Linked DNA regions of Macaca mulatta. The protein of the gene in region 3 binds, or shares a complex with, the protein of the main gene of each other region. Links are inferred from orthologs where the notes say so. Each region holds a gene or a part of one and is shown on either strand. Other genes may lie near its edges. The genes, in order: TIMM17B, TIMM17A and TIMM23.

Evidence for each region.
Region 1: TIMM23 (region 3) and TIMM17B share a complex: the UniProt entries of both Homo sapiens proteins name them as parts of the TIM23 complex. The link is inferred for Macaca mulatta from reciprocal best matches to the Homo sapiens genes TIMM23 and TIMM17B.
Region 2: TIMM23 (region 3) and TIMM17A share a complex: the UniProt entries of both Homo sapiens proteins name them as parts of the TIM23 complex. The link is inferred for Macaca mulatta from reciprocal best matches to the Homo sapiens genes TIMM23 and TIMM17A.

What each region holds. Positions count from the first base shown.
Region 1 is NC_133426.1:48,966,505-48,968,710, reverse strand, and holds the end of TIMM17B (mitochondrial import inner membrane translocase subunit Tim17-B), read left to right. Parts: intron 1-2; coding exon 3-66; intron 67-869; coding exon 870-998; intron 999-1,083; coding exon 1,084-1,194; intron 1,195-1,276; coding exon 1,277-1,365; 3' UTR 1,366-1,645; downstream 1,646-2,206. UniProt on the Homo sapiens protein: Essential component of the TIM23 complex, a complex that mediates the translocation of transit peptide-containing proteins across the mitochondrial inner membrane.
Region 2 is NC_133406.1:59,621,508-59,625,161, reverse strand, and holds part of TIMM17A (mitochondrial import inner membrane translocase subunit Tim17-A), read right to left. Parts: intron 1,951-3,654; coding exon 1,822-1,950; intron 464-1,821; coding exon 353-463; intron 1-352. UniProt on the Homo sapiens protein: Essential component of the TIM23 complex, a complex that mediates the translocation of transit peptide-containing proteins across the mitochondrial inner membrane.
Region 3 is NC_133414.1:59,221,922-59,226,247, forward strand, and holds the start of TIMM23 (mitochondrial import inner membrane translocase subunit Tim23), read right to left. Parts: upstream 2,899-4,326; 5' UTR 2,776-2,898; coding exon 2,670-2,775; intron 2,653-2,669; exon of another isoform or gene 2,495-2,652; intron 1-2,494. Other genes in the region: PARG (poly(ADP-ribose) glycohydrolase), read left to right, coding at 3,247-3,463. UniProt on the Homo sapiens protein: Essential component of the TIM23 complex, a complex that mediates the translocation of transit peptide-containing proteins across the mitochondrial inner membrane.

The DNA.
Region 1 (2,206 bases), on a different chromosome or scaffold from region 3:
AGGGAATTCGGCACCGGTTGAGAGGTAGTACCAACGCTGTGAGGATCCGAGCCCCCCAGATTGGAGGTGAGGGACTTGGGGAGATAGATATAGGAGATGTCTTGGCAAAGGTGGGAGTGGTTGATCCTTTGGGTCTAGGCTGCAAGTTGGGGGTTCAGATTCTAGCCCCTGCGGGAGACTTTCCAGAGGGGTGATGTTTCCCAACAATTGAATATGGAGGGGAAGAAAGTGGGTTCTGGAATTTGAATCTAGGTCCTGACTATTCCCTGCCGTGGGACCTTGGGCTAGTGGCTTAACCTCTCTGAACCTCACCCGTACCAGGGGTGGTGATAACAGTAACCACTTCATTGGTAGTTTTAAAGTTTATGTAATTTATATACTACTAAGTGCTGGTTGCTATGCTAAACACTTTAATAACATTAACTAATATAAAATTGCAAAAGTCAAATAACACAGTACCTCAAACAGGTCCTGGCACACAGTAAGCCCTCAGTAAACATTTTAACTATCATATTAACTGGGTTTCCTATTTCCTTCTCACTGAAACCCAAATCAGAATTCCAACTCTGTGGTGATTATGAAGCTCAAAGTTGCTCTGTTAAAAGCCATATGAAGGTAAATCTGCTTGTAAACATTTGTCAGCTCCCCATAAAGGTGAAGGGAACGTTGATGGTGATCACAGACAGCTTGAAGTGGGAGCTACCACAGGATGGGGACAGATAGAAAATACTCTATGGGGGGTTGCTATCTGCCTTTGTGTCTGGGTTTTTCTCCCTGTTCTTGGCCAAAGCATTCAGGCCTTGGAAGTCCCCTGAGATGTGAATTCTCGGGATTTCCTACGAACTAATTAGGCCTCGGTTCCACTACAGGTAGCTTCGCAGTGTGGGGGGGCCTGTTCTCCACCATCGACTGTGGCCTGGTGCGGCTTCGGGGCAAGGAGGATCCCTGGAACTCTATCACCAGTGGAGCGTTGACCGGGGCTGTACTGGCTGCCCGCAGTGAGTACCCCCGGCCCTGGCCCCAGCCCCTTCCACCCTGTTCTGCCTGCCCTCACCTCTGTTTCTCTGCCTCCAACTCCCCCAGGTGGCCCACTGGCCATGGTGGGCTCAGCGATGATGGGGGGCATCCTGTTGGCCCTCATTGAGGGCGTTGGCATCCTCCTCACTCGCTACACGGCCCAGCAGTTCCGAAATGGTGAGTAACTCGTGGTCGGGGGAGTGGGAAATCCTCCACCTGGCCTCTTCCACTCATCCTTACCCGAGTCTCCCTTCTCCAGCGCCCCCATTCCTGGAGGACCCCAGCCAGCTGCCCCCTAAGGACGGCACCCCAGCCCCAGGCTATCCCAGCTATCAGCAGTACCACTGAGGAAGCCACTGCCACCATGGGAGCTGCTTCTCGGTTCCCTCCCCGATGATCTACCTCGAAGGGAGGGCTGGCTCCCAGTTAGCCCTGGGACCCTCCAGAGAGGGCTTCTACTCTGCTCCCTAGTCCCAGGGTGGGGGTGGGGCACCCCAGCTGCCCTGAAAGATGGGTCCCCTTTTTCTCTCTCAGGGCACCCCAGCCCCACACTCACATGTACGAAGTTCTCACCCCAGCTCCTTTGTGTGGCACCCTGATGAGTATTTAAAGTCTGTTTTGAAATGCCTATGTGTGGACTCCTTGAATTGCCTATGGGGCCCCTCCTTAGGACAAGGGGCAGAGCCTGCTTCAGGGACTTGGAAGCCCTAGGACTTGGAGGCCTACAGCAGATGGGCTCTAGTAAATGTCTGTGGGCTGGATGAGCAGGAAGGGAGAATGAAGATGTGAATTAGCGACATGAATAAGGTTGTCTGGGGCTGGGTGATGGGTCCTAGCTGTCAGAGGAACAAGCTTGGGAAAGAAGTGAATAAACACCAGGATTGCTGGGGGCGGGGGTGGTTCTAGACATTGTACCCCTGACCCCATCCCCCTACACACACCCCAATACCCCTGACCCCTGCTCCACAGCCCCTGTCGCCGAGGCTGGGAAATGTGGCCTCACAGGAGTCCCTTCTTTCTGGACACTCAGCACAGCATTTGTGAAGGTGATTTCCCTCCCTCCATGTGGCCTCAGGGTAGATCTGGGATGGAAGAAGAGGGCCAGGAGACCTAGCTCCCTCAAAGAAGGTGCCCTGGATCAGCCTCCCCTTCTGCCATAGAACTGCTTTTCTGCTCTCCTCTGCTCAGT
Region 2 (3,654 bases), on a different chromosome or scaffold from region 3:
GTCTGGCATGTAGCTATACAATACTAAATTGTCAATTGACCATCATCATTGCTACACATCTGCAGATCCATTCTTCAAGTCCCTTTAAAATGATCAGACATTTATTGCAATACATGAGCACTGATAAACCCTAAGTACTATAAAGAAAGATCAACAGCAAATTTATACAAAAAATTTTTGTTATTGTGACTAAATGTAACATGTTCATTTTTTACCTATTATCACAGTCCTCATGAACCACAGCATATTAATACATACCACACATTTTAGCAGGCAAAGTATGTTCTTTCTTAACATCAGAAAACCATTCCAAAACGTCTGAGCTATAGTTTTAAGCAAAAAGAAGACTCACCATTGGGAAACTGTGCAGAGGCAAATCTTGTCAACAAGATACCAGCTCCTTCAATTAAAGCTAGGAGAATGCCACCCATTGCAGCTGACCCAACCATGGCCACTGGTCCATCTGAAGACATTAATAACAAAGAGATTATTTTTTACAGAAATCTAGTTTACTGTAAGAGATAGTAAAGAAGAGAACTGTCCATATGGCTACAGGCTCCTCCAATTCCCAAACTCTTACTGCCTAAGACCCAAAATCAGTAAACTACGGCCGCCCACAGGCCACCCGCTGCCTGTTTTTGTAAATAAAGTTTTACTGAAAGGCCGGGTGTGGTGGCTCATGCCTGTAATCCCAGCACTTTGGGAGGCCAAGGCGGGCAGATCATGAGGTCAGGAGTTTGAGACTAGCCTGGCCAACATGGTGAAACCCCGTCTCTACTAAAAATACAAAAATTAGCCGGAAGTGGTGGTGGGCACCTGTAGTCCCAGCTTCTCAGGAGGCTGAGGCAGGAGAATTGCCTGAACCCGGGAGGCGGATGTTGCAGTGAGCCAAGGTTGTGCCACTGAACTCCAGCCTGGGTGAAAGTGAGACTCCGTCTCAAGAAAAAAAATAAAGTTTTACTGAAACACAGCCAAACTGTTTCGTTTATGTATTATCCATGGCTGCTTTCATGCTATGACAGCAGAGTTAGGTAGCTATGACAAAGACCACATAACCCGCAAAGCCTAAAATATTCACTATCTGGCCTTTTACAGAAATAGTTCGCAAACCCCTTGGTCTAAACCACTAAGCTCAAAGGAATTCTGGTTTGCTCTCTGTCCTGAGGATCCAGAAGATGGTTCTAACTTCCTTATTCATAACAATTCTATATGGCAGGTATAATTATTAACTAACTCCAGATTACTGGTGAAGAAATTATAGCATAAAGTTTGGTAAACTGACCAGTCATACAGCTAATTAATGGCAGAACTGGGACCTGAAGTGCTCTCAACCACTGTAATATATGGGTTAGAATTCCATGCTCTCTCATTCTTAAATATTCCAAATAAAGAGATCCCCTTACTTTTTTTTTCAAATCACCATATACTGTATATTTATGCTATGCCAAATTAAGCAATGCTCGTTTTTTATAATTATTATTATTTTTGAAGCAGGGTCTCGCTCTGTTGCCCAGGATAGAGTGTGGTGGCTCAAGGGATCCTCCTGCCTCAGCCTCATGAGTAGCTGGGACTATAGGCATGCACCAACACACCCAGCTAATTACATTTTTTTTTTGTAGAGACCAGGTCTTCCTATATTGCCCAGGCTGATCTCAAGCTCTTGGGCTCATGCAATCTACCTGCCTCAGCCTCCCAAAGCGATGGAATTACAGTCATGAGCCAATGTGCCTGGTCAATAATCAGTTTTATATATTACAGATGTCATTCAATTAAGGCAGATGAGGTTTTCCAAAAAGTGTGACTTCTATAATGACTACTTACTTCTTGCTGCCAGTATGGCTCCCGTTAAGGCACCACTTGTGATGGAGTTCCAGGGATCTTCCTTTCCTCTGACTTGAACCATGCTACAGTCAATCATGGAAAACAGGCCTCCCCAAACTGCAAAGCTACCTATTGTATTGTAAAAAGAAACAAGCAAATACTAATTTAAATTTCATCTTCCATTTAAAGTATGAAGTCAAAAACAACACTCACTATATTCTCAAAACTCTTATAGTCCAATACATGCAAACACAAGTTTGAATGAACACTGAACAAGAGTCAGAATACTTATCTTTTGAATAAAGCTGGATTGTATTGTATCAGCTGGAAAATTAGCAATGGCCCAAAGCCTAAAAGAAATAAGCCAGCCAGGCGCCATGGCTCACATCTGTAATTCCAGCACTTTGGGAAGCTGAAGTGGGTGGATCATCTTAGGCCAGGAGTTCAAGACCAGCCTGGCTAACATGGCAAAACCCCGTCTCTACTAAAAATATAAAAATTAGCCGGGTGTGGTGGCGGGCACCTGTAATCCCAGCTACTGGGGAGGCTGAGGCAGGAGAATCGCTTGAACCCGGGAGGCAGAGGTTGCAGTGAGCCAAGATCATGCCACTGCACTCCAGCTTGGGCAACAAGAGCGACACTCCATCTCAAACAAACAAAAAAGAAATAAGCCAAGTTCTATGCCCTGGGAGACAGCTATGATGTCTAGGTATATTAGAAAATATACCTAAAAGAGTCAGGTTGCGTATGTGTAAAAACAAGCAAATCACCTTTCCAGAACAACCTATCTCTCTGGTTTAAGTAGCAATAAACAAAATCAAACTACTCTGCTTCCTCTTTCCTTCTCCTTTTCTTTCATAGCTTCACTTACCTCTATTTTTGGCCTTTCTTCATTATATGTCATCGAGCATCTACTCTATGAAAATTATCGATGGGAAAACAAAAGAAATCCAGCTATTCTGGAATGTATTACAGGTTTAAGCCAATACATGCTGAAGGGGCAAATGAATGATATAAATAGCTAGAATTATGGAACATCAAAGGGATGGAAATTGCCTTTCTATCCTTTATTCCTCAGATATGAATTTAAAACAACCTTAAATCAGCAGATTACTTTGCACTTAAACTCTATCTAAATACAAAAACAGTATCGCAAAATAAACAAAGACCCACACACATACATACATATACAAGTACAAACAAAATCTAAAAAGACAACACTAAGGTTTTAATTGTCAGCATTTCTGGATGACGTGACATGATTTCATTCCTTTGTGTTTTTCTATATTTTCCAAGTCTTCTAAAATGAATACGTAAGACTTGCATCATATAAAGTTATTATATTTAATAGGATTAAAGAAAAAAGTGGCTGGCCCTTTCTTTGTTGTCTCCATTTTCACTGCTCCACTTGATTAGCCAAAAAAAGAAAAGAAAGAAAGAAGAAAAGCTGCACAAAGCAGTCACTTTAATCTTTACCCTTTGAAATCTTAGGGTAGGAGGTAACTTGTGTTAACAAGAGCAATAAATGGAGTTCCACCAAATGTCTGAACCAGAGCATCTCCAGGATCTTTTTCCAATTCTCACATTATCAATTAAATCTAGTGGATAGTACCAGTGGAGTACAGCATAAGCGTCCTCATTTTTAGTCCAATATTAGATATCACATCCTATGTAAAAATAAACCAGTTATTTCTTCTCAGTAGTTCTATGCCCTGGGAGACAGCTATGATGTCTAGGTGTATTAGAATTACCTCACTAAAATTTTCTGGCAAGACCCTCCCATTTCCTCACGAGAGCCTAAAATCTCAGGAGAGCCTTCCCCTGAAAATCATT
Region 3 (4,326 bases):
TTAATTCGGTTAGAGTTAATCCAGCTCCTGATTGTTACATGTGTTTGCAATTTTTATAGGCTCACTGAAGGCGAAAATTTTTTCCCATTTTATCCTCCCTGTCAGTTTGGGGGCTGACTCAGGATATCCTCAGACCCTCAATCCCAAACCAGGTTTTCCACTGGTGGCTCAGGCTTTTACACCAGGTAAGATATTTGCAGTGTCATAGATCAGATTACTGAACTTACAGGAAGTGTAGCCTAGGCCATTTATAGTTAATTTCTTTCAATTTACTAGAAGAATGCTTGGTGACTATGTAAATTGCAAAATAAGACTGAGAAAAGACTAATCAATTCCATGGGGAAAAGAGTGGTTGGGTTGGGTTTTCTGCCTATGTACATGTTGTATGTAAGTATTTCAAGGCAGTTCCTTCACATATTACTATTAAGGATTGATTTACTGTGGCAAGGGTGAGAATCCTTGGGTCATTACCATAGGTATGTGGGTCTGTGCAAAAGAAAATACAAACTTTCAGAGGGCCAGACCTGAATTCACTAACACTGAAAACAGTAAAACCTATCAATCTTTGGATTCTTCTGTATTTCAGCAGTTAATTCACAAATATATGTATCACCTATGCCTCTGATCTTTTCATCAATTATAAGTCCTGTTTATTCTATTTTCATCACCTATTTTGAATTGTTACTTATCTCTATTGCTACCAGCCTAGTCCAACCATCATATCTCACAGCAACAACTTCCTACCTAACTCCTTGCTTTCTCTTGCCCCTTCAACTCACAGTCTACATAGCAACTACAGTGATTTTTCTTAAGAAAATCCAAACTCCTTACCATAACCTACAAAACCCTACATTAGCTGTCATTCCCTACCTCTCTGATTTCACAATCGTCAGCTGATTCAACTCCCTTGTAACTATGAAGACAGAGTGGCCTAAGAGTTGTTCCTTAAACATACCAAATTTGTTTTGTTTCAGGACATTTGCACTAGCTAATTTCCTGGATACTTGCCTCCCAAGCATTTGTACTATATTTGGGTCACAGCTCAAATGTCAACTCCCTTAAGACGTTTTCCCTAACCCGTTCTAAAATGGCATCCTGCTTCCATCACAATCTCATGACTCTGCTTTATTCCCGTTTACAGCCCTTACCACTAACTGTAATGTTTTAATTTATGTTTGTTGGCTTACCTCAGTATTATGTAAGCTCTGTGAGTGCAAGAGTCTTTTCAAAACAAAACAAAACAAAAAAACACAAAAAAACCACTATAGTCCTGCCCCCAGAAAACTAGCTAGCACATTGTAAAAGTTTAGTAAATGGTGTTCATTCCCTGGTCCCTCAATTTACCTTCAAATCTTAATCATATTAAGGTAACAATATTGTCACATTAAGGAAGCGTATGCCATTTGTGCTCTGAAACTCAGAGATATTAAGATTAATATGAAACTGTGTTCTAAACAGGTAGAGTGGTAGCTCAGGCCTAGGAACCCCAGCACTTTGGGAGGCCGAGACAGGAGAATGGCTTGAGCTCAAGAGTCTGAGACCAGCCTGGGTAACACAGGGAGATCCCATTTCCATAATAAGTTAAAAAAAAAAAAAAAATTAGCCAGGCGTGGCGGCACGTGTCTAGAGTCCCAGCTACTTAGGAGGCTTAAAGGGGAGGATTGTTTCAGCTCAGACGTGCGAGGCTTCAGTGAACTATAATCATGCCACAGCACCCCAGCATGGGTGACAGAACGAGGTCCTGACTCTAAAAACAGAAAAAAACAACAGAACAGAACAGAACACCTTGTGTTGTAGATTCCGTTTTTTGACAAAGGTGACACCAGGGATATGAAAGGTCTTTTCTTTTATATTTTTTTTGCGCTAGTCAGTCTGAACATATTTTGTTGTTGCTGTCCTTTAATATAAAACACCTAGAAAAATATTACAAGGATTCTCTAAAAAGAAAGTACTTTCGTAAAGGCTTTATCCACGACCAACTGCCTATCTTTAGGTCCAAGTTCTATTTATCCAGTTGAATAACCACAGTTACAAAGTACCAAAGTTCTGGAATACATATTCGCAAGACTGAGGAGAGGCAAAGGCAAGGAATTTATGCCTCTGTATCCTTTATGTTGTTGCTTATTTCCTTTCCTATAATTCTTACGTGGCATATATATCACCTTTAAAGTTCAGCTTACTTCCTAGCTCCTAGAAATGGTTTCCCAGCCTGTCCCAAGTCATACTTATTTCTCACTTACATGCAATACTACTGAATGTTCTGCCCTAACGGCTACTTGGGGGTTCAGAATACGTCGCTGTGTACTAAAAAGTTAACTACGGCTTGCTATTTGGAATACATTTACTCCCAAAGCTGGGCTCTACTCTTAATCAAGGGCCAATCACACGGCCCACCACACAAAAGACACGAGGCTTGGATATAAACCTAAGAAAACATGCATCATCTCGCGAGTCCAGGTCAATCACGGACAGCTTCTCCGGGAGATCCGTGGCCCTTTTTAAGGCCTTTCGATATTGAAAGAGCAGCCATGCAGACACACTAACCCCACCACTAGTGCTGAAGCTTGTAAATGCCAGAAAGGAAAAAAAACATAAAACATGGGACGCGCAACTTTAGTGAAGACGCAAGAACCAGTCAGAAATAATCGCAAGGTAGGCCCCATACTTACGCGGGACGCCAGCCAAATCCGCGTGCGAGTAACCTGCTCCGCCGGCTCCGAAAAAGCCGGCCAATCCCCCTGTGGTTTTGTTGCCGCTTCCCCCGCCTCCTTCCATGGTATCTCAGCAAACCGAGTGGTTCCCGCCGCTGTCTCGAGTCTGGGTGGTCCGCTGGGCCGTTGCTCCTCAATAACAGCGGGTAACCCCCGCGTTGCTAGCGCCTCCTTCACACGCTGACCTTCCGGGCGCCGGTTCCCCCTAAGCGCCGCGCTTCCGCTTTGCGGCAGTGTGCGCCCCGGAAGCCGGAAGCGCCTGACGGCAGCTTTCCGGTGGTGGGAAAGGGAACGAATCACGAATCAAAGCGGCGCATTCTGAGGCAGGTGGGGTGCCAGTGGAAGAGGGACTGCAGGAGACTGTTTACGGCCTGACTTTGGAGGCCCGCGGTCAGCAACTGCAGAAGCAGGAAGCAGCGGAGAGGGAATGGTGCGGGGAGGCGCGGAGAAGGAGGTGCAGTCCATCCCTCTCACGGTTAGTGAATGAGGCTCTCCGCCCGGGCCGGCCCGGGGACAGTGCGCTGCGGGTCCCAGCATGAATGCGGGCCCCGGCTGTGAACCCTGCACCAAGCGACCCCGCTGGGGCGCCGCTCCAACTTCGCCGGCTGCTTCGGACGCCCGGAGCTTTCCCAGCAGGCAGAGGCGCGTCCTCGACCCCAAGGACGCTCACGTGCAGTTCAGGGTCCCACCGTCCTCGCCAGCCTGCGTCCCAGGGCGGGCGGGACAGCACAGAGGCAGCGCCACCTCGCTTGGTACGTGGGAAAATAAAAATATTTGTTCTTCGCCTCGGCCGGAACCTTCTGGTCTCAGTCTGAGGACCCAGGGGCTCCAGTCACTCCTTTCTGGTCTTGTGTGCATTATCATGCTGAGGTCCACTTGCTGAGCTACCAAAGCCACTAGTGGGTGAATGGGGCCGCATTTTTCCCAGTGCTATTGTTGTGAGAAACTGATGAGCAGTCACTCACAGGGCGGAAAATGGCAGGAGACTCCACCACCTGTTTGCTTCTTCAGGTTTGATTGAGAAATTGCCTTAGTCGTCAAGGAGATGTAGTTGTGTATGTGAAACAGTAGGGCCCTTTGGCCTCTAGATAGGAAGAAAACAACTTCACTTGTTCAGATTCTGGGTCCCAGGGTGCAGAGCTGTTAGTCTAAGCTGGCATTGTACCCGTCCCTGGCATGCAGTGTTGAACAAGAGAAGCTTGGCCTCTGCCTTCATACCTTAAAATCTATCTGGAGAGAGAGACAATAGCAAAAGTTAGTATAATAAAAGGTAATGGATGTTCTGATACATGAAGGACAGATTGTTCTACCTAACCTAATTTATGGGATCGAAAATAGTCCTCCAGAAGATGAGATGCTTATTCTGAGGAGTTTAGAATGAGTAGAAGTTAGATGAGGAGGAAGTGAGTGAGTGTTTCAGGAGTGCAATTGAGGCCGGGCGCGGTGGTTTACGCCTGTAATCCCTGCACTTTGGGAGACGGGGGTTGGTGGATCACCTGAGGTCAGGAGCTCAAGACCAGCCTTACCAGTGTGGTGAAACCCCGTCTCTACTAAAAATCAAAAAAAATTAGCCGAGCGTGGTGGCGGGCGGCTGTAATCCCAGCTACTCGGGAGG